3 linked regions of the Macaca fascicularis genome follow. The protein of the gene in region 3 interacts with the protein of the main gene of each other region in a biochemical or structural test. Links are inferred from orthologs where the notes say so. Each region holds a gene or a part of one and is shown on either strand. Other genes may lie near its edges.

What was found.
Region 1: of the proteins of H1-1 (region 3) and PRKCD, one has a biochemical effect on the other in vitro, tested with the Homo sapiens proteins (2 studies listed by BioGRID). The link is inferred for Macaca fascicularis from reciprocal best matches to the Homo sapiens genes H1-1 and PRKCD.
Region 2: of the proteins of H1-1 (region 3) and CDK6, one has a biochemical effect on the other in vitro, tested with the Homo sapiens proteins (2 studies listed by BioGRID). The link is inferred for Macaca fascicularis from reciprocal best matches to the Homo sapiens genes H1-1 and CDK6.

Annotation. Positions count from the first base shown.
Region 1 is NC_088376.1:116,292,971-116,303,185, forward strand, and holds the start of PRKCD (protein kinase C delta type), read left to right. Parts: upstream 1-5,202; 5' UTR 5,203-5,422; intron 5,423-6,232; exon of another isoform or gene 6,233-6,358; intron 6,359-8,945; exon of another isoform or gene 8,946-9,057; intron 9,058-10,215.
Region 2 is NC_088377.1:128,505,864-128,516,078, forward strand, and holds the start of CDK6 (cyclin-dependent kinase 6), read left to right. Parts: upstream 1-5,484; 5' UTR 5,485-5,576; intron 5,577-8,121; exon of another isoform or gene 8,122-8,361; 5' UTR 8,362-8,729; coding exon 8,730-8,962; intron 8,963-10,215. UniProt on the Homo sapiens protein: Serine/threonine-protein kinase involved in the control of the cell cycle and differentiation; promotes G1/S transition. Phosphorylates pRB/RB1 and NPM1.
Region 3 is NC_088378.1:146,907,662-146,916,860, forward strand, and holds H1-1 (histone H1.1), read left to right. Parts: upstream 1-5,777; 5' UTR 5,778-5,835; coding exon 5,836-6,483; 3' UTR 6,484-6,484; downstream 6,485-9,199. Other genes in the region: H4C1 (histone H4), read right to left, coding at 1,324-1,635; H3C1 (histone H3.1), read right to left, coding at 2,688-3,098. UniProt on the Homo sapiens protein: Histone H1 protein binds to linker DNA between nucleosomes forming the macromolecular structure known as the chromatin fiber. Histones H1 are necessary for the condensation of nucleosome chains into higher-order structured fibers.

The DNA of each region.
Region 1 (10,215 bases), on a different chromosome or scaffold from region 3:
TTACGGAGTCCTGAGCCCCAGGCTGCTCTGCTCAGTCTCAGAAGGCCTCACAGCAACCCCCTTCACAAAGCCTGCCCCGATTGTGTCCTCAATAGACAATTTGTAGCAATGCAATGACAGTGCGGAGGGCAGGTCTGTCTGGGGAGATGAAATGACCTGTGCGATTACGGGAGATTCCTACTTTCCTCGGTAAACTTGTCTCTGTCTTCCTTGCTGTAATAGACATGTATTACTTTTTTTTTTTTTTTTTTTTTAAATCAGAACGGCCAACGTGTGTGGCTACTTTTCTAGGTTTCAGTGACTCTCCCTCTTCACCTCTCATTCCATATCCAGCCCCCAGTCCTCAAGGTCTTCTCAGAGTTTCCCACTAGGAGGCCAGCTGTAGTGCCCCAGACAACCCTCACACTTAGGACCTCAGTTGCGCCATCCAAGGAATGGGTGAGCTGGGGTATTCCTGACTTTCCTGGAAGGAGAACAAAGGGGGCGAGGAGGCAAAGGCGCCACCAGACGGCTGGAGCCAGGTGGCTGCCGGACCCGGGAATAGAGCCGGGTGTTTTATAGTGGGGCTTGCGTCACCCGTCACCCGGCTGGGCGTGCGTCTCCGTCCCGGGCTCCGAAAGGCTTCCCTGGGGCGGGGCGGGCACGGGGAGGGCGGGGCCCCGGAGGCCTCTCTGTGCTGGTGCACGGGAGTCGCGCCGACCAGCGTGTGCGCGACTGTGCTCTGAGTATGGAGGTGTGTGCATGGCTTGGGGGACCCTGCTGTGCCTGCAGTCAGTCCTTCCCAGCCTGCCCACCTAGAGCGGCTGCCTTTCAGCTCAGGGCCACCCCCCACACTGTTTGCCATGGGCCAAGCTGGGTTTAGTGAGCTGTCCTCTGAGGATGTGGAGGATGGGGGGTTGAGGGGTGGGGACAGGGAGCTGAGGCACCCTCAGGCCAGGGAGCGAAAGGAAAGGTGAGTGAGGCTCATAGCCCTCCCTGCCCTACCTCCCCACCGTGAGTGATTAAGCCCCAAGAGCCTCCCAGTAGGGACCCTGTAAATCAGAGCTGAGTGGGTGGGGGCAGTGGAGGAGAGCTGGGAGGTCCCCTGGCCTCCGTGCGAGGGAATGGCTCTTACTGATGACTATCGCAACACCAGTGCCCCTTCTCCCCACCTACACACACGTTTGGGGGCGGGGCAGAGGAGCCAGGAAAGGGGACTCAGGCTGGCAGGAGCTATGCCATTTTCAGTGCAGAGAAGGGACAGTCCAGGGTACACAACCCGGGAGAGCCACAGGAAAGCCCTGTGTTCTGCACTCCCAGGACGCACCTTCCCCTTGTCTACCCCCAAGTATGTCTCAGGTTTCACCCAAACACAAATGTGTTGAGGAAGGAACATGGAGGCAATTAGCCCAGCCTCACTAACTCTCTGCCTGGCAGGTAACACCAACATGGGATGAACTTGAACTCTTCCATCCCCTCAGCCTCAGGAGGTCGATCTTACCAAACTCCACTTCACAGATGAGGAAGCTGAGGCACATTTAAGCTGCAGTGCGGGGCACAGCCAGGATGTGAACCAGCCCCTGGCCTGGCACTTCCCTGCTATGCAGTACTACCCACAAGGCCACTGTCCCCTCAGCCTGTCCTTGCTTGTGTTTAACCTAGTGCCTGAGGCTGACACTCCTGTTGATGACAGTCTTGGTGGCCTGAGGCATGGGCATGTCCCAAGTGTCCTTCCTACTACACTGTCCCCAGTGGGCACCTCCCAGGCTCTTGCCCAGGTGCACTACCACTGTTGACTGTGTCTCCTGCTCCAGAAACACAAGCCCACTCTGTCTTGGCCAGGCCAGTGCTCTGGGTGTGATGGGGATTGCCGTGGCAACCAAAGCTTCAGGGACAAGGATGGTGACACAGAGAGACAGAAACAGAGAGAAGGTGCAAAAGGCAGAGAGGCCAGGACAAGGACCAACTCTTGGCAGGGATCAAGTGAGGGACCCCATTTGCCTTCAGCTGTGTGGGCCTCAGGGACAGAGGGAGGGCTTTTCCAGGTTGCTTGGCCGAGTCTTGGACTTCAGGAGTGGAGGAGTCTGGAGGCCTCCCAGGGTTCATGGCCTTTGGAGGAGGCAGAAGTGACAGGGGTCAAGCTGCTTCTCCTTTGGATAAATCCTCCAGGAGGTCCACAGAGGGAACAGCCCTGGGTGGATGCCGTGGGTGGGAGTCTGGAAGCTGCCTGGCGCCACCCCTAGCCCATCTCCTTGGCTGCAAACCTGGAGGAAGAGGAAAAGTACCACCTCTAGGCAGCTGCTATGAGTCTAGCCCTGCTCAGGGATTTACGTCCCATGTCATGAGAGGCCATTGAAGGCTCTTTCAAGGCTGACGGCCTATGACTTGGCACATGACCATGCCAGGTCACAGGCTGTAACCCTGGGCAATGTGTTTAGCCTGGCTGAGGCTCTGTATATATCATCTCATTTAACCCTTATCATCTCATTCAACCTCTGACATGAGTCTGTCATCAGCTCTCTTCATAGGTGAGAACTCCAAAGCTGGGAGAGGCACGGTCACCTACTCAGGGCCATACAGTTAGCATGTGACACAGCCAAGGTTTGCTCTCAGGCTTCAGCAGGCCCTTCTTGTTGATGCCAGGCAGATTATGGGGACACAGATACCAGCTCATCTGGACCCTGCCCTGGCCCACCAGTGTGGCACCCAGAAGCAGCTCCAAGATGCAGGTTGGTTCTAGTCAAGCGTGGCCTGGACTCTCTGGACCTCATGCAAACCTGTTCTCCCTGGGGCCCTTGGACCTAAGGCCTGGAGGGAAGCCCACCTTCATCCCTTCTCTGCCCTTGCCACAGCATAGCCAGCACAGCCTTAGCCCCTCTGCCCCCCTCTGAGTACATCACACTTCCCCTTTCTCCAGAGGAGAGAGATTGGCTGAAGCCAGTGTGTGCTTGCAGCCCCTGAGCTCACAAGTCTGCATATCCTGAGGATCAGGAAAGTGCTTCCTGTTGTCTAATGTAAATCTTGTTCCTGTAACACCAGAATATGTCAAAGCAGTGATTCTCAACAAGGGGTAATTTTGCCCTGCAGCGGACATTTGGCAATGTTTGGAGACATTTTTGTCTGTCACAAGTTAAAGCAGGGAGGTACTACTGGCATCCAGTAGGCAGAGGCCAGGAATGCTGCTAAACATCCTTACAGTGCACAGGGCAGCCCCCACAGCAAAGAATCATCTGTCCCAAAGGTCAGTGGTGTTGGAATTGAGATCCCTGATGTAAACTATGGGCTTTGGAGGCAGAGAGACCTCAGTCTGAATCCACCTCTGCCACTGACTAGCTGTGTACTCTGGGGCAAGTCGCTTCTCCTTTCCCTGAGCCTGTTTGCTCATCACCAAAACTGGCACTAACAGTAGCCCTCACCTCTTAACTGTTCCGACTGCACACATCCAGCACCCAGCACACAGCCTGGTGCTGGGTAGCCCCTATCAGCGATAGCCATGATTATTCATTTCCTTCTTCCAAGGTGAACCACAGGGAGTGGGAACAAAGGTCTGGTGCCTGGACCTGGAGGCCACAAAGGTCTGGTGGCTGGACCTGGAGCTCCACAAGGGTCAGTCCTCCCTCTGGCTGCAGTCCCTGGCACAGGGTGGGCCTATTGTTTATGTTGAGGGAGAGGCTGGGTTGGCTTACTGTGAACCTGAAGGAGGAGCCAGAAGGAAACCTGATCCCAAGTGGGCAAAGGTCACCTGAGGCTCACCTTGTGCACCCTTTCCTCCAGTCCAACCCCAGGGAAGCCATGGGGCATGATGGGTGGGGTGGGATGGTATCAGGACACAGAACATGCTAATGAATATGGTCCTTCGCTCAGGGAAGTGCTGTGCATTACAACTGGGCATCAGGCAGGAGGGGCATTTGAATGGACACAACCAGGGCAGGTAGAGGTTTGGGGGTGGGGTGGGAAATGGCATTCAGGCCCAGAGAACAGCATGCTCAAGGCCTGGGTGTGAAGAGAAAAATGTCTTTCCCAAAGGATAGTCCTGGAACCCACCTGGTCTGACCTTTTCTCCCCATCCATCTTCCCCAATCTCAACCCAGGTGGCTGACAACATGGCAGCCCTTCTGTCCCCCATCCAGCCTCTCCTCTGCCCTGCAGTCCCTCTGCCCCATCTATCCCGCAGGAGCCCTCTAGAGCCTGTCGTCCTGACTGATTGTAACAGCTTTCACCACCTTCTCATTGCTCCGTAAGAAGACCAAAGTCCAATAACCTGTCTCTGTCACAAGCCCCTTTCTCAGCTCAGGCCACCTCTGGGATTGTCCCCCACTTCCATCCCTTGTGTTTAGACTTTCCCTATCCCTTCTAGGTGGTTCCCCAGGACCTGGAACCCTCTTTTTTGTCTCCTGGGAAGTGACATTTCTTTGGATCAGTATAAGAATAATGTCTTGGCTTTCTGAGCTCTGGGGACAGGGGAATGGACACCCTAGAACCCCAACTGGTCCCTAGACTTTGAGCCTAGGGGACACTCGATGAATAGATGGATGAGTGTATGAATGAATGAATGAATGAGTTATGGCTGACAACCAAGTTCCACGTCTGGAAAGGAGGCTCAGGCGCCTGCCAGGAGCAATAGAGAGGTCTCGAAGATGGGGGCAGGAGAGCAGAAGACTGCCAATCGGGGTAGGGGCAACTGCCAGTCGGGGTAGGGGCAGGTCCCAGAACCGCCTGAGGAGCAGTGCAGCGGCCGACCAGCGAGAACCTCCGGCCCTGGAGTGTAACCAGCTCAGTCTTTGGGGCAGAGCCGGGACAGCGGGCTTGGCGGCGGGCACCGAGCCCGGCCGCGTCCGAGTTCCAGCCAACAGGAAGAGCAGGAGTGGGGCCAAGGGAGGCGGGCCAGCTGGCTAGTGGGGAGTCCCGGGCGTGGGTGTGGGGAGCGGGGGAACCCCCGCCGGCGCCTCCCAGGCCCCAGCGGGCGGGGGGCGCCTCCTTATCGGGCCTCAGCGGCCTCCTCTGTAAAATGGGCCCCTTCTGAGGGCTGGCTGCGCGTAATGGCGGGAGGATGCGAAGCGGGCCACAGAGGGCAGAGGGGCCGGGAGACTCAGTGTCCCGCGCAGAAAGAGGCAGAGGGACACAGTCCCCGGTTGCAGCTGGTGGGGCGGGGCCTGGAGGGGCGGGGCCTGGAGGGGGCGGGGCCGGCGGCACCTGGGTGAGGTCGCGCCGCCCCGCCCCCTCGCACTTCCGTGTGCCGCGGCGCCGGAGCCCGAGGCTGCTGCAGCCCAGATCCCCCGAGCGACCCCCGGCGCCCGCCCGCCGTGCCGAGGCCCGGGCCACACCTCACTGGCCGCTGGACTCGTCCCAGTCAGCGCCGCGCCGACCGCCGTCCGCGCGCGCCAAGGAGCCGCCCGCCCGCCACCGCCGCCGCGACCCTTGGCGCCTGCCCCTGCGCCGGGAGGTGAGTTAGGGCCGGGACCCGGCGCGGGATCGGGGCTACCCCGAGGGCGCGACGCCCTTTCTTCCCCTCCCCGGCCCGGTTCCCGTTTCCGAAACTGAGAAACTGAGCCGCGGTCAGCGAAAGTCCCTCCGCGCCGAGACATGCCGGTGACTCCGTCCCCCCGTCCGTCTGTCTGTCCGTCCCTCCGCCAGATAGTGGGGGCTGAGGTCTTTCTGTCCGCCCGCCCGTGTGTCTCCCGCTCCTCCGAGAGGCCCGTCCGTCCTTCCCGACTGTCTCCTGGGCCCTGTGACCGTCCGTCTGTCGCCACCCACTCTGTGTTCTCCCCCTGCGCGCCTCTCCGAGACCCGATCCGTCTGTCCCTCGCCCTCCGCGTGCTCCATCGCCCCACCCCCACCCTTACCCCCGCCGGCCGCCCCCTCGATCCCGTTCTCCCGGAGCCGCGCCCCCGGCCCACGCTTGCCGCCCCCTGCCGGTCCAGCCGCCTATCCGCTCTACCGCGGAGCCCAGGCCAGGCCGCCCGCCGGGCCTCGCCTCCCGCCCCTGGGTCCCTGGAGGCCCGACTCGCGCGGCGCCTCCTCCTCGCTGTCTCTTCTTTCGGTCTCAAGAGTCTTTCTCGGTCCCTTCATCCGTCTCTGGGCTGGGCGTGGCTCCAGTCTCCACCATCCCCCTTACTGCCCCACCCCTCCGCCCCTCTGAGACCCCTTCCCAGGGTGGCCCCTGCCCGGTGTGGTCTGCACCCGCCCCCAACCCAGATGCCACTCGCGTTGTGGGGGCTCTGCCAGGTGAGGGGAGGGAGGGGGAAGTCCTCCTGGCTGGTGGTGGAGAGGCAGAAGGAGAGCACCATCGGAACTGCTCCCACTTCCCCAATTCCCTCACTCTTGGGGCACAGGAGAGCCCCACTGAGCCCCCACTTAAACCTGGTCAGAAGGATTTGCTGTGAGTGTGTGGGGGGGTCCCCTTCTCTGATGCCTACCCTGTATGCATGGACGCTATCTCCTTGTGCTAAGTCACTGGTATCTGGGTGTGTGGGTTGTCTGTGTCAGCTTCTGTGCTGTCACTGTGGGACTTGCCTGTGCATGTGTGTCCTTTTTCGCATGTGTGGCTTGCTTGTGTGTATGTGTGTATGTCTGTTTGTGTCCTGAGGCTCTGTGTGTGTCTTTTGCAACTGTGTGTACCATTCTTGGTGTTTTTGTTGTCACCAGACTTGTGTGTGTGTGTGTGTCCTTGTCTGCCAGTGTGTGTGTCCCTGTGTGTCTGGAGATTTCAGTGTTGCATACTGGGTATATCATGGTGACCAACTGCCCACAAGTACCTTAGATCTGTTAATTGTGGAAGCCCCTGGTGTTGGGTGCCTGCCCACCAGGCTCATGTGTGAGTGTATCTGTATGAGTGTGTGTATGTGCGTGTACTCATGTGTGGCTCTCCCTCTGCCACTGAGCTTCTGTGACCAGGCTCACCTGGTCACTAAGGGAGGGGACTGATCCCTGGGGTTTCCTCGTTCCTACTGTGGAGTGAGCTGGGGCGCGGTGGGCAGGCCAACAGAGGGAGGCTGTATGGCGCATGTGTGATGTGTGCAGTTGTGTGTGTGTGTGAGACAGAGAGGTGTGGAGGTGTCTGGGCAGCTGTACCTGGCTGAGGGGTGGTGTGAGGACTATGGGATGGGACGGTACTGGGGTAAGCCTGGCAGTGTGTGGTCATGGTAGGAGTGTGTGACTGGTGGGACACAGTCTATGCTTGGGGAGTGACTGTGATTGTGGGGAACGGAGAGTGCCTGGGCGTGGGTGTTAGCGGCAGGAGGGGGTGTGACAAGGTGTGTGGTGACAGTGCTGGGAGGGAAGGTGAGAGCCCAGTATGGGTGTGTGAGTGTGTGGGAGACCATGAGGATGTGGGTGTGCACATGGAGAGGGCTAGAGGGCAAGTCTTGGGGTTAGCAGTGTTGTGACCAAGACCTCGGGCTCTGGATCCAAGAATGATTTGGGCTCCAATACTTGCTTGTGCCTGTTAAGAGCAAGAGACCCAAGCTAGGCCTCTCAAGGCTGAGTGTCTTTATCTGCAGAATGGAGAAAGTTGTGTGGACAAAAGGTCCTGAAGTCTTATGTTGTCACCACCCCCGGCTATATGGTTCCCATTCTCCTGGGAGCTGGGGTTAAAGAAAGCCCAGACAGTATCCAACCCAATTTCCTGCCTGTCTGTTGCCCCTTCCCATCTCCTTGACCAAGCAGCTTGAGGGAGGGAGGATGCCCAGACAAAGCCCCTAGTACCCAGCCCTGTTCAGCCTGCATGACAGCCCCTCCCTCACCAGCCGTTAGTGTCAGTAGCAGCAATGGGGGAGAGAGGGGTGGGGAGTGATTCAGAGCTGTGACTGCAGGGCGCTGACACCATTTAGCTGGCACAGTTTAGATTAAAATTAGAAATAATTTAAAGTACAGACGAAAAGATAAAGCCAAGGATGCCTCTATCCCCAGGGAATGGTGATGAGGGTCTCCAGCTGGGGGAGGGGCTCACATCTGGGGAGCAGAATCTTTCTTAGAGGCTTGAGCTGGCTGTCAGAAAAAATGCTTAGGCCTTTCAGCCAGGAGACACAGAGTTCCTTGCTACCTTTGCCATTTCTTCCTTCCAGGATATCTCCAGGCCTCAGTTTTTTCAGCTGTGTAATGGGCACAATAGTAACGTGAGAATCACCTGAACTATAATGCACAAAACAAGAGATTAAAAAATGTCACTCTTCAGGCTGGGCACAGTGGCTCACACCTGTAATTCCAGCATTTTGGGAAGCCGAGGCGGTAGATTACTTGGTCAGGAGTTTGAGACCAGCCTGGACAACATTTTGTCTCTACTGAAAATACAAAAATTATCTGGGCGCGGTGGTGCGCGCCTGTAATCTCAGCTGCTCAGGAGACTGAGGCACAAGAATCACTTGAGACCAGGAGGTGGAGGTTGCAGTGAGCCAAGATTGTGCCACTGCACTCCAGCCTGGGCGATAGAGCGAGACCCTGCCACATTAAAAAAAAAAAAAAAAAATCAGTCATTTGGCATTCTCAACGTGAGTCCAGCACAGGAGCTTGCACGCCACATCATTGGAACCTCAGAACCACCTGGGGAGAGGGGGCTAGCAGTTTCTCCATTAAAAAAACTGAGGCTCAGAGGAATTGCCCCAGGCCATAAAGTGGTGTGGTACTTCATTGCACCCTAGGACTCCTAAGCCTGCAGGGCAACCTCCCGCAGACAGGAGAGTCGGGAACAGGTTTTTGCTGTGTTATTGGCTTCCTCACCAGGCTGGAAATGTGCTGAGGGCAGGGACACAGTGTTCCAGCCCCTAACATGGAATGGACACATAGTGGTGTCCAGGAAAAGTTGGACCCAACACTACATTTCAAGGAAGGGAAAGCCACATCCAGAGAGACCCAAGGTTTTAGGGCCAGGAGAGACTGAACTGGGCCTGTCAGCCATGCCGGGACTGGCAGATGGGGAGAGCCTGTTTGGCGGTGCCTCCCGGTTCAGCTGTTTCCTCCTGTTCCTGCAGGTCTGCAGGGAACTGGCCAGGCAAGGGTGCAGGCCGGTTTCTCCTGGTGGTTGGTGCGTTGCAGCAGCAGCAGGAGCCAGGACTAAGGACAAGCGGGAGCTGGGAGCCCCAGGTAGGACTGAGTTCTCTTAGGCAGATGGACGGTGCTCAGGCGTGGCCTTCCTCTCTGTCCTCCCTGTCCTTTGCTGTGGGACTGGATGGGGTTGGGCATGCATGCAGAGTCCTTGATCTGGTTGTGGGCCCTATGTGCCCAGGGGCCGCAGCTGTTTGCCCTGTCTATGGAGGGGCTCTCTGCTCATGAGGAACTTCCCGCCTGGAACCTGGCTCTGGCCCCGAATGCTCTCGCCTTGGAGCTCAGAGGCCTGGGGCCTACCATGAGTTTGGGGCAAGAAGTAGTAACACTTTTTTGGTCAGTTAGAGAGAGGGTGGCTCGTGGGCCAAGGATTGAGGGTGGATGTATCAGCTTTTCCTTGGCCCTGTATCTGCCTCCAACTGTCCTCATCGTCACACAAGGACACTGAAATTCCCCGTGGGCCCCACAGTGAGTTGGACGCTGCGGGGGGATGGAATGGGGTCTCCAGGTACAGCTGAGCTGTCTTCCACACCCCAGGCCCCTCCATTTTCCCCACTTCTCTAGAGCCCGAGCAGGGCTCAGTCCCTCTCGTCAGCTTCCAAATTCAAGGGGAGTTAGGCAGAGTCTGGAACAATGCTGGGAAGGCTGCAGTCTCTCTGAAGAGCCTCAGAAAGCTGGAAATTCCTCGTTTTGGGGCAAGCCTTGCCTCCTTCAGCCCCATTACCATGAAAACACTGCTGTGGGTGACTCCATACTCACTCCAGGCTGGTGACTGGGTGACTGGGCCCCAGTGAGCAGGGTTCTGGTGGTGGGTATGGGTGCTAATGAAGCTTGAGCCTGGGAGTGACAGTGGGGGGATAGCAAAGACCGTCTTTCCTCCAGGAGCGCTCCCTGAGCAGACCACCGCAGCCAACCCCACTGGCTGTTACACACTTATAGGTCTGTGAGTAGAGCCATAAGGGCTGGGCTTCCTGGGCCTGACTCTGGGTTAGGGGGCAGAAAGGAGGTCAGGGCCCTCACTCCTGGGGTAGGAGTTGGGGCAGAACAGGAGTCGTCTTCACTGGGCCTTCTGTGTATTGGACCTATCCCTAAACCTGGTGTGGAGGAAGTGAAGTGCCTTTGGCTGTGTAGGGGCCTCTGCCACCGGAGTTCTGAAGAGCCAGCCCTTTCTGTCACTCAGCCTTGTTTTCTAAGGAG
Region 2 (10,215 bases), on a different chromosome or scaffold from region 3:
ATTTCAAGTCTTTCAATACCCAGAACAGCAACCTCCATATCTCCATATCCTCTCTTGTGAAGATAAAATTTTGTTGTCTCTCTCCGACTGTTTTGTAATATCTTTCTGAATCATTAGAAAACCCATTTAATAGGCATGGACACTGAAGGTCAGAAGAATTGAATGACTGGTCACCGAGGATGCAATGAATAGTAAGTACTGAGAAAGGAAGAACTGGGAATGAAAACACAAGTCTTCTGACTTAGAAATCAAGGATTCTATCTTTTAGGACATAGTCACATAGATATTAAGGATATTGGCAAATAAAATTAGCAATCTTTCTAAACTCTGGGCTATATAGTATCTAGTTTACCTCAAAGTCTAGTATTTGCTCTTTTAAAATAAAATTTATTTAATTGGAATTTTGAGGAAACAGAGACATTTATCTAAACACATTTTCTTTCAGCCAATATTTTAGGAATTTGTCTTTAAACAAATCTAGAAATGTACCTAAACACATTTTCTTTCAGACAAAAATGTTTTAAATGACTAATATCAGCAACACAAGAAAAAACATACCAAATTTACCCCAAGTAGCAGGATGACCTGGCTCTTTCCTGTTTAAGCAACATGGAACACTGGTCCTCAACTTTCAAATGTTATTCTAGTTATGTCACGGTGTACCAGTCTGTTCTGTGCCCGCCTGACTCAGTAACACTCCTAGAAGGGGACAAGAATGATTACTGAATTCACTGACCACTTACCAGGGCCAGAGGGCACAACTAGGAGTTGGAGGATTGTTAAAGGGAACTAAGTATGCTGGGTGCTCTTGGGAGGACTCAGGGTAGCTTAACACGGTAGAAAGCGAATTGCCTCAGGAGTTAGAGCAAAGGGGGATGTCTTCCAGCTGAAGGAATTTCAAAGGTTTTATGGAAGAGCTGAGCGTGCAAGGATGACATGACTTAGAGAAGAGGGCTAAGAAGGAAAAGAACTGTAGGTAGAGAAAACACATTTCTGAGGTCCTGAAATCAGCACATAGGTCCTTAAATTTTATTAAGCAGTTCCAAAGAAGACGGTCTAAAGGATGCAAAGTCAACTTTTCTGTTGACAAACATTTATTGGACATAAAATGCTTGCCAGTTACTGTGCTAGGTACTGGGGATGCAAAGATGTGAGTAATTTTGAACAATCTTATAACAAGGTTTAGAAATCAAACTCTCGCTTCAATTTATGGTAAAATGTTTGATCCACAGAACTATGCTATGATATATTTTCTTCTAGGCATTCAAAGAATTCTGCAAAGAATTCCATTCTATGTTATTTTTGGGAAAAATCTAGAATAAGACAACATAAAATAGATTTACATGTGAATATGGAGTCATACATATATGACCTCATTTAAATAAGACATTTAATTGCATAATAGGATAGACACAGAAGGCCATTCATCCTGAAAGAATCGGGTTGCCTGGCTACGCCATACCTATAAGCACTGAGGCTGCATCTCTCAGCCCCACGACCTCAGCATGTGCTTCCTTCACTTGTCCCTGCTGCCAGGCCATTCACAGAAGTTTCTCCCTGGGTGCCTTCTTTGTCCCTCCTCCTACCTCTGAGATTCCACTTTATCATCGTTCACTCCCACTGTGTTATACCTTTACTGCTCCAACTGAATGGTCTATCTAAAGCATGTAAACACCTTTTAGCTCAACCAAAAGCAGCTATGGCAACACAATTTTTAGGCCATGTGTGCAGCTGAGATGCAAGTATTATCTCAGAAAAGAAATGTTAGAAACAAGTGAAAATTACAGGTCACTGTAAATAGAAAGAAAACATAGGTTTTTTTATGTGATTATCACCATCTTTTGTAAGTATATTTCCATAGTTATCTTTCTGATTACTCAGAATTCTAATATAGATGATGAAAGGATCTTAAGAACATGTTTCAAACTCAAACATGTCATAACAATATGCCAAGAACATACAGGTATCACACACACACACACACACAAAAGAAAAAAACGATATGGGTGTCTATCAAAAGGGAAAAATTAAAAAAGATGATGGCAATTATTCAAATATGAACATAGTACTGACATGTTGCACAAAGAAAATTATAGAGTAGTAGAATCAATGGAAGCAGAATGTTCCAAAAGATAGTAATGTTTGTTTTTTTCCTCCTTAAATGTTATAAGCTACTACTTTATTTCTATTTTTTCCCTCATGGCAGATATCAAACTCATTCCAAGTTTCACTGCTCAAATGCAATGCAATAGATCACATGCAACAGTAAAAACAGAAAAACCCAGGTCATTCCAAATTTACAGAAATAATTTATTTAGAAGACTGAAATTTAAAAATCATTTAAAGCTCAGAATTTTACAATGCAAAAAGTTCATAATACAATTGACTTTTCCTAAGATATTTAGCAAACTTTCAACAATATAGTTCAGGGGAAAACCCAACAAAACATCTTGGAAATGTCTGAGAAGGGAAAGAAGAATGCATTAAAATGCACTGCATTTATATTATGCTATTTCTGTTAAAATTATAGTTTCTCATGATTATTACTCAATAAAGATAACATGTACACAAACACATAAATCAGGTTAAAAAGTAGAGTAACTTGTTTCAAAGTTAAACTAGAAGTGTATTTTAAAATAATTGTGTAGTAAATTACAGCAAAATCTCATTTCTGAGTTTCTGGAAAATATATTTTATAAACTCAAACAGCTAATATAAATCAGAAATGAATTAGATTTAGGTGTACATTATGTAATTATTATTTGTAACTAAATTACTCATTTCCTTAACAAGGTTAAAAATTATAGACCAGAATTTAAAATTTTATGTTTATTTCAGTGAAAACAAAATTGTACAGGTATTTGATATATAAATGTTCACTCATGAAATACATTCCTTATATGACACTAAGAAATCTTTCAGTGTAAGTTACACCACCATATTTGGAAATAAGTCCATGAATTGTAATTTTTAAATAACTGTAAGATGATTTGCAACTTCAGAATATCTGATATGTGGTATGAAAGTATTGGTTGGAGTCATTATTCTTGAGTTCTATATATTAATTCTCAGAAGACTCCTAAACAAAGAAGTTGGAATTTGGTTCACAGTTTAAAAACTTTGAACAAATTTTCTTATGATAACCTGTTACCCACAGCAGAAGTTACCCATAAACAAAAATAATCTGGTATTTACTAATTTCATACAATCAGTTGTAAAAACTTCCTTGGGTCTGAAGCTTTCACCAACTGGGATTTAATGTGAACCATAACCAGGGAGAGTGAACAACGATAAATTAACATAAAAGATAGCAATATCAGGAAAAGAAGAGGACAGAGAGTTAACACTCAGTATTAACATATATAATTAAATAAAGTTTCATTGTTTTTTACATTGTCCAAATGATCTAGTAACCTAAATCATGGAATTTCTGATCTAGCAATGGCTGTTGTCAAATTCAGTAATTAAAACTTCAACCCAGTGTAGAAAAGACACTTCTCTGTTCATTTAAAAGATATTTGTAGCTTATTTTTTTTTTAAATAAGTGATTTATTCAAATAAATTCTAGCCATGATGTGCTGGTTCCTATTTACTGGCAATTATTTCTGGATTATATAAACGTGTTAATTACCATCAAGTAAACCTTGTTTTAAAAGGCAAATGGTAAGTGTGAACAATTATCCAAATGGAGGATTCCCATTTGTGTCTCTGGCTTAAAGTCTAGTGATTTGTAGTGATCTAATATTTTATGTAAATATAAAATCTAATGATTTGCCTTATTAAATTTATAAGATATATGAGATTATAGATAGCTTTATAAATACAAATTTTGTTCAGAAAACTGGATCTTATTTTAGAAGACATGCTCTTAACACAAATGTATTTTATGAATTATCTTAAGCTTAAAGACATACAATTATTCACTTTTATTTTTAAAGAAAAAAATATTATAATGCATTGCAAAATATGTGCTACTGGAAATGCATCAATTTTTTATTTCCCTAGCCTTACCTTATACTATAATATAGAATCAATTTTATAAAGGCAAAAATTTGATTTACTATGAGATCAGTAACATGGTTTTAAAGTCAAAAGATTTATAGAAGTAGTATGTCCAATTCAAACAGAATTTTGCCGGGTTTTAATTTTTCTACAAAGCACTGAAGTAAATAATTTTGTGAAAAGTTTTTCTTTAATATGTTTTAAAGGGTTTCAAGTATTCTACAGATAGAGATTTTGGGGAGAACACCAAATTCTTTCCAAAAAGACAGCTATTTCAAGTTTTCTTTTACTCCATTGTAGAAGGTTTTAAAGACTTTTTTTCTCCAAAAGCTCATTTTCACCTGAAATAATTGTATTCAAGGGTTTCTCAGCAGGTAAAGTATACATTCTTACAAGGTTTCAAATTTCAGATTTCCAATAATGCATTTAAACTGAGCACTCCTCTTTCTGTGTATGTATCTATTGTCTGCAGTTCTATTATTTACACTAAATTTTAGTCCTTTTAGCTCCTCTGAAATACGTTAGTGAACCCTCAGCAGTTACTAACCACTTAATAATTGTGAACCCGCCAGCCCCTTCAAGTAGATCGTTAACCATAAGAGTGCCTGACAATTTCCAAACCATACCCTCTGTCTAAAAGGAAAAGATAGGGCTTTGTGAGGCAGAAAGGAAGCGAAGGAAAACAAAACAAATGTAGCTCATGCTGAAAGTGAAAAGTGCTTGAACAGATTAGTATTTTCTTTTCTGCAAGGCATCCTGCCAAACTTTTTCTTTATTTTTTTAAGAGAAGAGTTATTTTTTGGTCTGATTTTTCAGTTTCTTGGAAAGTATTGGTATTTACCACCCCCATCGGCCCTTCATAATTATTGTTAGTTGTTTTGTGTTTTTCCCATCCGTCCACGTCACACAGTGAGGATACCCCCTGCTTCACCCTGTCAAAACCCCAACTCTGGGCGACCCTGGGTTTGGAAACTCCGCCGACTCCCGACGACACGTCCCACTCTCTCCCACTAACGCCGCTTATTTTAGTCGCAGGATCCCCCTACTACAGTTTCAGTGAAAGCCGGAAATTTTCATTTAACTCCCCTGCCCCCCCAACCCCCCCGCCCCGCGCCTTTCTAGCCCCCGACTCGTAGAAGGGAGCTAGGGAGCCCGGAGCTCGGAGCACTGCCGGGGCTTGGCCGCCTCCTTTCTCTCCGGAAGGCTTTAATTTGCACACTTTCTTGCCACTGCGCCACGAGCCCCCAGCCTCGCCGCTGGGTGGGTCTCCGGCAGAGTTGGCTTCTCGGGTCCCTGCCCCCACCCCGCGCGGTCGCCCCCGCTGCCTCCCTGGCTGGGGCCCCCAGCGCCGGCCAGAGCCCCGCGGCCCCCGTCCGCCCCCAGCTAGCGGCGCGGGCGGCGCCCTCCGCCTTCCCTCCGCCCTCCGCCGCTGTGCCCACCCCCTCGCCGGAGAGAGTGCTGGTAACTCCTTCCCCAGAGTCTGATTACCTGCTCCGCGAGGCCGCGGACACGTGCGGAGAGCCGACTGACACTCGCAGCCCCCTCAGGAGGCCCGACGCGACTGGGCCCCTCAGGTGAGGAGCTGTGCGCTCGGGTGGGTGGGCTGCGGGGTGGGGGGTCCCTGGGGAGATATGGGGGATTGGCCGGGGTCCGAGGCAGAACTGTGGGTGGGGTAAGTGGAGGCTGGCGGGGGGTGGGGGGGACCTGTGTTTCCCTGGAATCGGCTTTGGTTAACCCCTTACGAACTGAGACGGCGTTGGTTATGGGGGCCAGTTTTGGGGAGCTAGAGGATTCTAATCTGACGAGAGGGGGAGATCCTACGCTAGGGACACCCGCGACACCGAGATCCTGCTTCCACGTACCCGTGCGCACACACACTCACACAGAACACTCCTCATCCAGTTTCTCCAAACGGAACTGGAACTTTACTCGGACATTCACATAATAATTCACATTTAGGGTTCAAAATGCACTGCCTCTAGGGACTCCATGCTGGAGAATGTGCTTGCATTTCCCCCACGAAAACTCCCTCGCCAGCTCGCTGAGGTGTGGGTGTGGGCTCCACCTTCCCCTCCACGAGATAAATGTTAACGCAGGCTTCCTGCGGGCGTGTTATGCACAGAAGAGTGCACGCAGCCGGCCGGTGCCCAGGCTTGGAGCCCCACGAAGACGCACGTTTGCTTTAGTTTCCAAGTTTACTTTTATCATTTAAAATATTGGAGTTAAACACACGCCCCGTGGTGAGCAGCCCTTGTCCCCGCAGGGCGCCCGTCCGTGTGCATATGGGCGCATCTGCGTGTGCGCACACGCGGGAGTCGCGGTCCCCGGTGTGGCCTCTTGTTGCCGTGCTGGTGGCGACCCTTGTGGTGCTTGGCAGGCTTCGGGAGAGGCGCATGAAGGATTTCATTGAGTGTGAAGACAGAGAGCAGAGACAGAAAGCAGAAGGAGGCGGCTGCAGCCTTTGTAGTCGCGGAGGAATGCGGAAATGTTGAAGCACTATGTCAAACTTTTTTTGAAATGGGGTCAAGTCACATTCAGCCAGCGTGGGAAAGCAACAACAACAACAAAAAAAAAGTGGAGGAGAGGGGGGGAAAAGGCATTGCTGCTCCCGTTTCTCTCCGCCGAAGCCGACCGTCTGGGGGGCGAGTGGGGGGAGAGTCAGGGTAGTGCGGGGCCCGGCGGGGGCAGCAGGCGAAGTTCCCTGCGGGGGTGGGACGTCCCCGACGCTTCCTTCGCTGCGGAGCCCGGGGCTAGACTCGAGCGGGAGGGGGATGGGGGGACGCAGGAGAGGCGGGTTGGGCGGCCGGCGGCGGCTCCCCGGCTACCTGTGTGGCCCTCGACCTGGCTCAGACGCCCGGGCAGTCCTTGGGGGCTCTTTCCTCGGCTTTTAAGGAAAGTTCTGAATGGAGTGAGTGCCAGAAGCTCTGCTTTCGCCGCGGTCCGCTCCACGCGCTCATCGTGGGGGTCGCGCCGTTTGTTTAATTCCTGGCAAAAGGCGAGCGGGGCAGCGGTTGCGAGGCAGGTAATTCCGAGGTGCCCCGGGAATTCCGGACACGCGGCCAGCGTGGTGAAAGTCCTGCCGAGGCCGCGGCGGCCGTGGGGGAGGGAGGCTCCCTAGGTCCCAGATAGCTGCTGAATGGGGAGGGAAAGTTAGGGTACCCTTCTCCGGCGCTTTGTTATGCAGAGGGCTCCGGGGGCGTCCGGCTGCAGCCTGGACCCGGCCTTTAGCCGGAGAGGGAATGGGGCAGCCACCTCCGCTACCTACAGCGGGGTGGTCCTGGGAGTGGGAAAAGGTTCGCGAGTCCGGGCCCCGAGGGCAGAGACCTTGTTTCTCACCCCTGGAGGCGCAGGGTTTAACCCCCCACCCCCCACCCTTTGAAAGAGAGGTTGAGTTTTGCTCAGGTCGAAATCAATTTAAAACTTCAGGACGAGGCGCGATTAAGCTATCCTCTTCCTGAAATTATTCTTTAAGAAGACGACAAGCGAAATTGTGACGAACACCCCTTTCTCCCACCCTTGGGATCCCGTGGGGGACAGTGTCTCCCCTCCCCCAGGACCTCTCGTTCGCCCACCCCCGATTAGCCCCAACCCTCCCCGACCAGATGGCTGGTCTTCCCAAGGTTTCCACCAGGGAGGTCCTCCCAGTCGGAGAGAGAATTCCGTTTCCAACCGAGACTCCTTTACCCCAAAGAGACCATTTGTGTATGCGAGTCGTTTTTAAATGTCTCCTCGTAGAAAAACTGAAAGTAGAAAGAAAGGAAGCAATTTCTGAGCAGATGTCTGACCACCCCTTCTCGCACACTCACAGCATCGGGTTACAGGGTCCTGGGAGCCCCCACCCACATTCTGCGGCCCCACACGGATGGACCCACAGTCCTTCCGCTCCAGCTTGTGCGCGACCCTTGAACGCCCTCCGGCACCCCTGGACCCCATCTCCCTGCACGTCCGGGCCTCAGGAGGCGGGGAGGGTAGCGACGCAACACAATGATATAGGGATAAATATTAAGCCGTGACATTGACGTGCCCGGCGCCTCCCCTCCCCCGCGCTCCCGGCACACTCTGGGCTGCTCGGCACGCCCCCTCCCGTTCCACTGCGTCCCGCGCCGCTCGCTCATCCCCGAGGGGCCCCTGCAACCTCTCCGCGCGAAGACGGCTTCAGCCCTGCAGGGAAAGAAAAGTAACTTCGCTTTTCTCGGAGGAACCAGGAAGGATTAAGCGGCTTGGGAGAGGGCAGGAGCGCGCGGAGGGTAGCGATGGAGGCTTCGTAAAGGAGGAGGAGGGGAGTCTGGAGGAACCCCGAGGAAGGCTTCTGGGCTGTCTGATTGCACTTTCTTCTTATCCTCCCGTCTCCTCCTTTAGGTGCAATGATTCTGGACTGAGACGCCCTTGGGCAGAGGCTATGTAATCGTCTCTGTCTGTGCTGAGGACTTCGCTTCGGGGAGGGAAGAGGAGGGATCGGCTCGCTTCTCAGGCGGCGGCAGCAGCGACTCTGCAGGCGGAGTTTCGCGGCGGCGGCACCAGAGTTACGCCAGCCCCGCGGGGAGGTCGCTCCATCCAGCCTCCGCAGCCGCGAGAGCCCCAGCGCCCGAGCGCCTGAGCCAGCAGGGAGCAAGGAAAGCTAGACCAATCTCCGGGGAGCCCCGGAGTAGGCTAGCGGCGGCCGCCAGCTAGTTGAGCGCACCCCCCGCCCGCCCCAGCGGCGACGCGCCGGGCGGCGTCCAGGCGGCATGGAGAAGGACGGCCTGTGCCGCGCTGACCAGCAGTACGAATGCGTGGCGGAGATCGGGGAGGGCGCCTATGGGAAGGTGTTCAAGGCCCGCGACTTGAAGAACGGAGGCCGTTTCGTGGCGTTGAAGCGCGTGCGGGTGCAGACGGGCGAGGAGGGCATGCCGCTCTCCACCATCCGCGAGGTGGCGGTGCTGAGGCACCTGGAGACCTTCGAGCACCCCAACGTGGTCAGGTGAGCCAGGGAGCTGCGCCCTTGCAGTCTGGGGCCGCGCGCGCGGGGAGGGCCGAGCCGGGAATCCTCAGGCCCAGAAAGGTGTGGGGCAGAGGGCGACTGGGGAGGTCCTGCGCGACTTGTTGATCTTACAGAGTGAGAGTTAAGTTTTGTCGACAGAGCCGCGAGCCAGAACCGGTGACCTTGCCAGACAGCGAGCCGAAAGACGAGTCAAAAAACATGACCTGCGCAGGCTTCCCTGCAGCTGTGCAACTTAGAAGCGTTTTCTCCGTGCCCTCCCTGAAGGAGGGTCCGGGGGAGATGGGTGCGTTTTAGGGACAGGATAAGCCAACCGGAGACATGCCCCGCTAGCTCCCGCATATTTTTACTGGCCATGCCGTTGGGGAATTTTTGAAAGACCTAGTAGGTGAGACTGGAGAATGAGGATGCTGTGTGGTAATCAGTGGGAACTTTATGGGTGGAGCCTAGTGTAAATCAGGTTAAGAAGATGCAGAAACATCATAATATTTTTGCCAGTCATACTCTCAGTTTCTCTTTATTAAAGTTGCGTAATAAGAATGACTGCTGGTGGTCTAAGGAGTTTGAGTGCTGATGCCCAATTTCAAACAGCGTCATAAAAATTTCTTCCAAAACTGTTATCCCTGTGTCTGTTTTACTTTATATCTCTGGGCGGACATACTCTTTAGACTAATTCTCCAAAGGGTTAAATGTGAGTCCAAGATGTGGGATGGTTAGATCATAAATGTTCTGCCCATGGTTTTCCCAGATGGGGTGTGCGAGTGAGTGGGGAGACAGCAGTTCTTACTCTCTCCTGCGTGGTAACCAGTATTAAATGAAAATGTGTGACTTAGGATAATGGTGTTTTCTTAGTGATCCTGGAATTTCCCCATTGTGTGGTTGACATTGTTTGGTTGTGTCATCCTTTTCCTTTTTAAACAGAGATGCATAGCTTTACATTAAAAAGGAATGCCTTCTACAAATTGGGTTGTACAAAAACTTCTACAAATTGGATTGTGATTTTACTTTTCTCGATCTTGAGAAAATGTGTAGCAGAAAGATCTTTTTTCTCATCCATTTAGGGCTTCTGTTCAACAAATACATGCCTACTGTGTGCGCTGAGGATGAAATTATGTAAATAAGCACAGCTAAATATTTTTGTAAAAAGTCAAACAATTTAACATTAGTCATCAAAGTGGAGAGACCCAAGACTGACCTTTGAAATACCAAACTCTCTACAGACTCAGAGAGACCAA
Region 3 (9,199 bases):
AATTAAACCAAGCTGGGTACTTGTTTTAAATTAAGCCAAGCTGGGTACTCAAGAAACGCTGGATGAAAACTGTCAGGTGGAAAACAGGACCTCAAAATACAGAGGAATGCATCACTGAAGCTAACGTAGTGAGGCCGAAATCAGTCCTCTATAACAATGAGCACAATGAGAGGCATTTGTGAATATTTACTCAGATGAGAGTAAGATATTTCCCTATTAGCTAATCTCAAGTTCACATGTTTTCCAGCTGAGTTCTGAAGCTAGATGTACTACTGAACACATAACTGCATCAGGAACATCGTTTAAAACTGTGGCTACAATGACTTAACTGGACAAACCCCAGGCTTCCAGGTTTAGCACAGGTGGCCCTTCACAGACCAACATTGCCTATGCTACCAACCTCATGTCCTGCCACCCTGCCTGCATCATTTCTCTCTCTGCATATATAAAAATATGTATGTATATAAAGAAATCAGCTTTATTGATATTTAATATACCATAAAATTTGCCCACTTTAGGTACAATTCAATGAATTTTACCATGTTTACTTAGTTGTACAACCATCATCACCATTTAATTTCAGAATATTTCTATCACCCAAATTCCAATTTCTACTTAAAGGGGGGAAAAAAGGCTAACTGCTGAAGGCCCGGTAACACTGAAAAAGGTGACTTTTCTCTCTAAAACAGATTTTAATCGCCCCTGAATTTAGTGTCCTGGGTATTCCAGGAGTCTAAATGGGGTTTCAATTTTCAGGATCTTTTAAATCGAGGCAAATTGTATTGGTGGCAATAAATTGAGTATTGCTCTCAGTACATGAATGAGGGATACTTAAAAGTCTGTGATTTCATTTCCTAATCGCTAAAAAATAAAAATTAGTAAAAAAAAAAAAAAAAAAAATTTACTAAAACAGGGTTTTGTCCTTTCTCAATAAGCTTTTTAGCTTCCCCTCCGACTCTCTGGCTTGCCTCAGGAAATATTAGCTTATCAGTTCTGATTGGTTGACAGCTACGAATGGCGCTCACTGATTGGGCAGCGCTTCCCTTTGTCCCTTGGAAACTAACACAAATTTTTAACTCAATGTTTTTCCCATTCACGCTTCAGAGTTGGAATATCTTTGCTCCCCTACCCATATCTAGTGAGTGAAGGGCAAACTTGCAGTTCCAGTAATCTTTCCTTTCTAGTATGTCAGCTCATTATCATTCACATTAACTATACATTGAGCTTCTTGGCTTAATGGATACAGCTCTTCTTTTGTTTAGTTGGGCGGCCCTGAAAAGGGCCTTTGGTTCGGAAACGCAAGCTGGGGAGAAAGCAGCAACCTTAGCCGCCAAAGCCATAAAGGGTGCGTCCCTGGCGCTTGAGCGCATAGACCACGTCCATAGCAGTGACCGTCTTGCGCTTGGCGTGTTCCGTATAGGTGACAGCGTCACGGATCACGTTCTCCAAAAACACCTTGAGCACCCCGCGAGTCTCCTCGTAGATCAGACCAGAGATCCTCTTGACACCTCCACGCCGGGCCAGACGCCGGATGGCCGGCTTGGTGATGCCCTGGATGTTGTCGCGCAACACCTTGCGGTGGCGCTTGGCACCCCCCTTACCCAAACCCTTCCCGCCCTTACCACGTCCAGACATGACTTCGTAAGAAGTGAACCAAGAGCAAGTGAGAGAGAACAGGGGAATCGATCTTTATATATCTACGTTACCCCTCCCCCACCCCCAGCGGACACAGAATGAAAAGCGCGCAGGCGGGAAATGTGACGCCTACAGTCCCCTCCCTCAACCCCTCCTCCAAGCCCCAGGAAGTGGAGGGAGCAGCGGTTAGGGGAGGGTGGGGAGACGGGGGTGGGACCAAGCTGGCTTGACCAATGACTTTTATTTTCTTAACAGAACTACAGGCTTTGAGGAACTGGGTTAAGAATTAACCAGAGAGAGAGAGAATAGGGGAACCGATCTTTACGTTTAGGGGTAACCGAATGTTACCCCTTCCTCCACCCCCAGCGGACACAGAATGAAAAGCGCGCAGGCGGGAAATATGACGCCTACAGTGCCCTCCCTTACTCCTCCTCCAAGCCCCAGGAAGTGGCGGGAGCGGCGGTTGGGGGAGGGTTGGGAGACGGGGGTGGGACCAAGCTGGCTTGACCAATAGCTTTTATTAACAGAGCTACAGGCTTTGAGGAACTGGGTTAAGAAATACAAACCCATTCAGACTCCAGAACTATTTTAAGTCGAATGTTTTTCTTTTGACACTGAGACTCGCTGGCGCCCAGGCTGGAGTACATTACCGCGATCTCGACTCCCTAAAACCTGTGCCTCCCAGGTTCAAGCGATTCTCCTGCCTCCGGCTCCCGAGTGTAGTTTGGATTACAGGCGCTTGCCATCACGCCCATCGTGTTATTGTATTTTTCGTAGAGACTGGGTTCGGCCATATTGGCCAGGCTGATCCCAAACTCCTGACCTCTGGTGATCCGCCCGCCTCAGCCTCCCAAAGTGCTTGAATCACAGGCGCGTCATAGTGACCAGCCAAAATCGAATGGTTTTTAAGCCTTCAGTGGCAAACATCAAAACGAAAAGTGCTCCCAATGCATTCCCTTTCGTCTTAGATTGGCTTCTTACAGCTACCTTACTTGAAAAGGTGGTGGCTCTGAAAAGAGCCTTTGATTGGACCGTCAGAGCTGCCGGAGTAATCATGCCCGCTCTCCGCGGATGCGGCGAGCCAGCTGGATGTCCTTGGGCATGATAGTGACGCGCTTGGCGTGGATGGCGCACAGGTTAGTGTCCTCAAACAGCCCAACTAAGTAGGCCTCGCACGCCTCCTGCAGAGCCATCACAGCAGAGCTCTGGAAGCGCAGGTCTGTTTTGAAGTCCTGCGCAATCTCGCGCACTAGGCGCTGGAAAGGTAGTTTACGAATCAGCAGTTCGGTAGACTTCTGATAACGGCGGATCTCGCGCAGAGCCACAGTACCGGGCCGGTAGCGGTGGGGCTTTTTCACACCGCCGGTGGCCGGAGCACTCTTGCGGGCTGCCTTAGTGGCCAACTGTTTGCGTGGCGCCTTTCCACCAGTAGACTTCCGAGCAGTTTGCTTAGTACGAGCCATGATGGGAAAACAGCACAACGTAACACCCAAGACTAGCGCAAATACGTCCGCGAGCTTCTCTGCTATTTATAGTGAGTAAAGTGCAGTGATTGGATGATAGAAGACGCTAAATATGACGTTACAAGCTCTGATTGGTCTATCTTTAAGCCTCAACAATCGTGCAGTTTCACTGGCTACTATATTCTATTCCAACTCTACAGATTATTTTTAAAGTGGTATTATTATTACTATTATTATTATTTTATTTCACTTTTGCTTTGTTCCCCAAGCTGGCTTTAACTTGGGCTCAAAGGATCTTCCCGCCTCAGCGTCCGGAGTAGCTGGGATTACAGGGGAGCGCCACCGCGCCGGCTTGCACTTTAATTTTTTAATCTGTTGTCCTCTTATACATCTGGTTTTCATAACCTGAAGGCTGTGTTTATTTTCCATAAAACAAGGCATTGATTCCAAAGGTATTATAATTCTCCAATTCTGTATAGCCTTCAGCTCTTTAGGAGAAAAAAAAAGAGGGAATTCTCCTCTCCGGAAATGTACCCTTTACGGGAATTTCTGAAACCTTTCACAAGAATTGCATTCCTTTGTAATGCTTTAATTGACTTAGTAGCGCTATTGAAATCTACAAAGCATCTCAAACATAGTAGGATTACACTATTCCTCATAGAAACATTTTCTATGAGACGTCTTTCTCTTGATTATGCTCTTTGAATCCTAAACTTGCAGTGTTCTGCAGCTTTTGTTTTCTAAGCCTAGGTGTACTCTGCCAGTCAATAAATGGCGTTTCTCCAGCACTGCCGCCAGGTACCACCAGCTGGGAATTGTTGCTCTTGCGGAGCAGGAGGTGGACTTGGCCCAAGAGAAACTGGATGGTAGTCCGCAAGGAACATAATTTAGCACTGCCAAGCGCTAATGCAATCATTTTAAAAGTCTCAAAACACTAAAAAGTGGATTGTGACCTTTTTAAATTCACAGGAGACAGGCCACTTTCTATCTTTTGATTGGTTTAGGCTATTTTCTTGAACAGCCATTTAGAAAGCAGATCTATCATCCTTTATTTGCATGGAGCGTTCCCATTTTATTTGAAGCCAGTTTAACCCAATGGAAACAAGGGAGGCAGAACCCATTATTTAAAGTGGAAGCTCCTGAATCAGATAATTCGGAGTATTTCCTTTTTAAAAGTTGCGTTTTTTTCAGATACCTCGCTTATTACATTAAGAAAGGTTTATATCTTTCATAAAGGGTTTACTTACAAAAACCTTCCAATTTTATATACCTGTGTTTCATAACTGACTAGCCGTCAAACCAAGATGTATAGTTTCCAAATGTTATTTTCCAAATTTTAAGAAATTACGTGAAATATTTGAATGCGTGGCTTCTCAATAAAATAGACGTAGGAAACACTGGTAAAGAAGATGGGTACAATAGTTATCTGGGACTACTACAATTATTTGGTTGACACGTTGTTTGAAGAAAAAGGGAAAAAGCTCAGGTTACTTAGCACAGTTCGGACTTATTTAAAAACTACAACAGCACGAACGGAAATAGACCGCATTCCCTCACTCTCCGCTGTGTTAAGGGGTTATCCAGAATAGGATTGTAGAAGTGGATGTCGATTTAATAGTTTTTTTGTTCTCCCGTTAGCTGAGTCTCTGATTGGCAATGTGAGATCGTTTTAGCTTATTGATAATTTGAAATGCTCTTAACAGCCACAAACAAGCTAAAGAGAGGTTACCATAAAATCTTATCCCCAGGGTGTGCTTACACTTACCGTTTGTTTTCACACTAAGGAGACTTAACTCCCCAGCAGAATGCCTGTCGGGGAACCAGTTTCTTGGACCCAGCATTTAACGCCTTTCGCAGGTTTGTGAGGCCCATAAATCTTTGTTGAATAAAACAATGAGTTCACCATGTCATGGTGCGCTCATTGCATGTGCTGACATGGAACACAGGTTGTAAACCTTAACACCCATTTGGGGCATGTTGTATGGATGAAAAGGGCATTGGAAATTCCTGAAGTGCATCCCACATTGGACTGTGGAAGTAAGTTGCAAGTGCAGAAACGTTTCCACACTTGCAGTTTGAGTATTAATTGCAGCGTTAGTGAATTCTGGTGTTGTCTACGATTCATTCTTCTTTGACGTGAAAGGTATTCGCGAGACACATCGCTCTAAAACATTGCCAGAAAATGTAATCGAGTTGATGACTACTAGCCCTAACACGGCCTAAAACCCGCACTTTCCTCTTCCTCCCCAACTATTCAAACACTGTATTTTACATTTCTTGCAAATTAAAAACTAACATATCTGGCAACGGACCTCTAAAACTTTCTAATAAAACTCCCTGGATGCTTGTGGGGCTGCATTTGCAAACCGCTCCCCATCAACCTACTCCCTAAAACAGAGCTGCTTTTTGAGAGACAAGCGGCACCCTCTGATGTTACTAGGTGGCAGTCGGCCTACAATTTCCTTCACAATGAGGCAATCGGAGCGGCTTTTTCGGTGTGTTTGCTTGCGTTGAGGGGAGCGGGACCATAGGCCCTAGAGGCCCCCAGGTGCTCTCTGAGACTGGGGGAAACCCTCTGCAGAGCGCAGGGGGCGCTAGGGTGCGAGGGGCGGGCACTGACGGGCACCAATCACTGCGCAGTCCCACCCTATAAATAGGCTGAGTCGGGGCCTTTTTTTTCTCGCATCCTGCTTGGTCAGGTTTATACCAGTTTACTTGGTGTGCTGTATTAGTCACCATGTCCGAAACGGCGCCTCCCGCTCCCGCCGCTTCTGCTGCTCCTGAGAAACCTTCAGCTAGCAGGAAGGCAAAGAAACCTGCTAAGGTTGCGGTGGCCACTAAGAAAAAGCCTGCTGGCCCTTCCGTGTCAGAGCTGATCGTGCAGGCTGCTTCCTCCTCTAAGGAGCGTGGTGGTGTGTCATTGGCTGCTCTTAAAAAGGCGCTGGCGGCCGCAGGCTACGATGTGGAGAAGAACAACAGCCGCATTAAGCTGGGTATTAAGAGCCTGGTAAGCAAGGGAACGTTGGTGCAGACGAAGGGCACCGGCGCCTCGGGTTCCTTCAAACTCAACAAGAAGGCATCCTCCGTGGAAACCAAGCCCGGCGCTTCAAGGGTGGCTGCAAAAACCAAGGCAACGGGTGCGTCTAAAAAGCCCAAAAAGGCCACGGGGGTTAGCAAAAAGAACGTCAAGACTCCAAAAAATGCTAAAAAGTCTGCGGCAACAAGGAAATCCTCTAAGAGTCCCAAAAAACCCAAAGCTGTAAAACCCAAGAAAGTAGCTAAAAGCCCTGCTAAAACTAAGGCTATAAAACCCAAGGCGGCCAAGGCTAAGGTGACGAAGCCAAAGACTGCCAAACCCAAGAAAGCGGCACCCAAGAAAAAGTAAATTCGGTTGGAAACTTCTACTAACCCAACGGCTCTTTTAAGAGCCACCTACACACTTCGGGAAAAGAGCTGTAGTACACAGATGAAATTCCCCCAAGCAAATGCAATACGCCCTCATTTATATTAGAATCACTTGGAGAGTCAATAGGAACTTTAACATAGGTTGAGTAGTAAATTCTTGCCAGATGAGGCTATCAAAGATAGCAAGGTGAATTCAAATGCACCGAGTTAAAGTCGAATTTTAGATCACCTGTTTTGCTTTTTTTTTTTTTTTTAAGTAGCCCGAAGTCCCGCATCTCACGACCCCAAGCTAATTAGTCATAACTGTAACGAACCAAGGTTGAAGCCTAGTCCCAGGCTTGAGGCTTTTTTATTATACAAGGTTAAAGTGCGGACATTGCGTTCTTGGGTCAATATTGCTAAAGTAGCCTTTTCCGAAATTGGGTGGTCCTAAGAAATGCTTCTGGGATAGTAAGCAAAATTCATGGCTTAATCACGCCCTCTCGGCAGCAGTGGCTAGAGAGGTGTCTGTCCTTGGGAATGACGGTGACCCTTCTGGCGTGACTGGCGCCCACGTTGGCGTCCTCTGAAAGCCCCACCAGGTAGGCCTAGCTCGCTCGCTTTCTGCAGCGCCATCATGACAAAGCTTTGAAACGCAAAATGCTCTTGCTTTGCGCAGCGCTTTACCATGGGTGCACTTACAGGCTGTCGACTTGGTTTAGGCCCTCATCAGGACAAAGGAGCTTAGTTGCAATGGAGTTTTAGAGCTGCAACTCTAAAGCCCTTGCTCGGTTTCTCTGTTTTTAGAAACAGTAGCGACCTGATTGGATAATATTTGAAAATTACTATGCTTAACTGGATCGTGTTTCATCAATCGTGCAGGATTTTCAACCCTGGTGGAGCCCACACATTCAATACTGAAGATCCTTTTCTCAGAACTGCCCCTTTAAGCTTTTGCAATTTTAATTCTGGGGTTCAATTTTAATAACTGAACTTTTTTTTACATCTGACAAAAAGAGTATATGATGAGCCAAGTTTACTCAGTGCAGCTCAATTCTAAAAGTTTATTTTTGCGTGTGTGCATATGAGTTAATAATTAGTTGTATTTTTCAAACGGTCGGTCTTTTTTCAATTGTTTTGCTTAGCTCCTTCCATCGTCTAAAGTCAGGGATACAGGCACATCACATCCCTGTTCCCCCTTCCTCAAACTAATATGTAGCTACCTGTTTTTCTTTAAAAAAAATAAAAAAAAAATTCTCACCTATTTCTGTGAGAAATATACATGTTTTTCTTTGAACTAAGTATTTTACATACACCTATCTATATACATGCATAGTTTTTTGTTTTTTTAAAAAAAATAAACGTTATCTTTTGAGACTGGGTCTCAGTCTGTTGCCCAGGCTGGACTGCAGTGGCATAATCACAGCCCACTGTAACCTCCAACTCCTGGATTCAAGCTATCCTGCAGCCTCAGCATCCAGAGTAACTGGGATTGCATGGACACACCACCACGCTGGGCTAATTTTTTATTTTTATTTTTTGTAGAGATAGTCTCACCATATTGTCCAGGCTGGTCTAGAAATGGCCTCAAGCGATCATCGGCCTCCCAAAGTGTTGGGACTACAGTCACTGTGCCTGGCTCCGTATGCATAATTGTTTTGTCTTTTGATTAGGGTTATTAATTTAAAAAACAAAAAAAGGTTGGGCGCAGTGGCTCACGCCTGTAATCCCAGCACTTTGGGAAGCCAAGTAGGCAGATTGCTTGAGCTCAGGAGTTCAAGACCAGCCTGGGCAACATGGTGAAATCCCGTCTTGACAAAAAATACAAAAAATTAGCCAGGCCCGGTGGCATGCACCTGTAGTCCCAGCTACTTGGGAGGCTGGGGTGGGAGGATGACTGGAACCTGGGAGGTAGAGGCTGCAGTGAGCAGAGATCGTGCTGCCACTGCACTCAAGCCTGGATGACAGAATGAGACCCAGTCTCAAAACAAAAATAATAAAAATTTTGTACAATGATGTTATATACACTTCTGCATGTTGCTTTTCTCTTAACCAAACATGTCTAAAACCCTGTCATGAAAAAAGAAATCCTTCACATGGAGTAGCATAAGTTATTCATCCATTTCTTATTGATAAGCATTGATGTTTCCAGTTACCACTGCTGAACATGGTGCAATTGAATAGAATTCCAGGGCTGAGATTGTTAGGTTGTATTTTATTATTTTATTTATTTATTTATTTATACAGAGTCTCGCTCTGTCACCCATGATGGAGTACAGTGGCATGACCTCAGCTGCAACCTTCGCTTCCTGAGTTCAAGCGATTCTCATGCCTCCAGTCTCCCGAGAAGCTGGGATTACAGGTGCCTGCCACCATGCCCGGCTAATTTTTTATTTTTAGTAGAGATGGGGTTTCACCATGTTGTCCAGACTGGTCTCAAACTCCTGACCTCAAGTGATCTGGCCACCTCGGCCTCCCAAAGTGCTGGGATTACAGGTGTGAGCCATGGCGCCAGACCTGAACTTTGTCTTCTGTTTCATCAGTCCTTCTGTCGGTTCAAGCACCAATATCACACTGAAGACTGATGATTCTATATAAATATGGTAAAGACTGTACACCCTTACTGTTCTTATTTTTTAATTTTAAGGCAATTTTAGATTCCAGCTTTCCAAAGAATTGTGGAATGCTTAGAGCTACAGAAGCCTCGGAAGTCATTT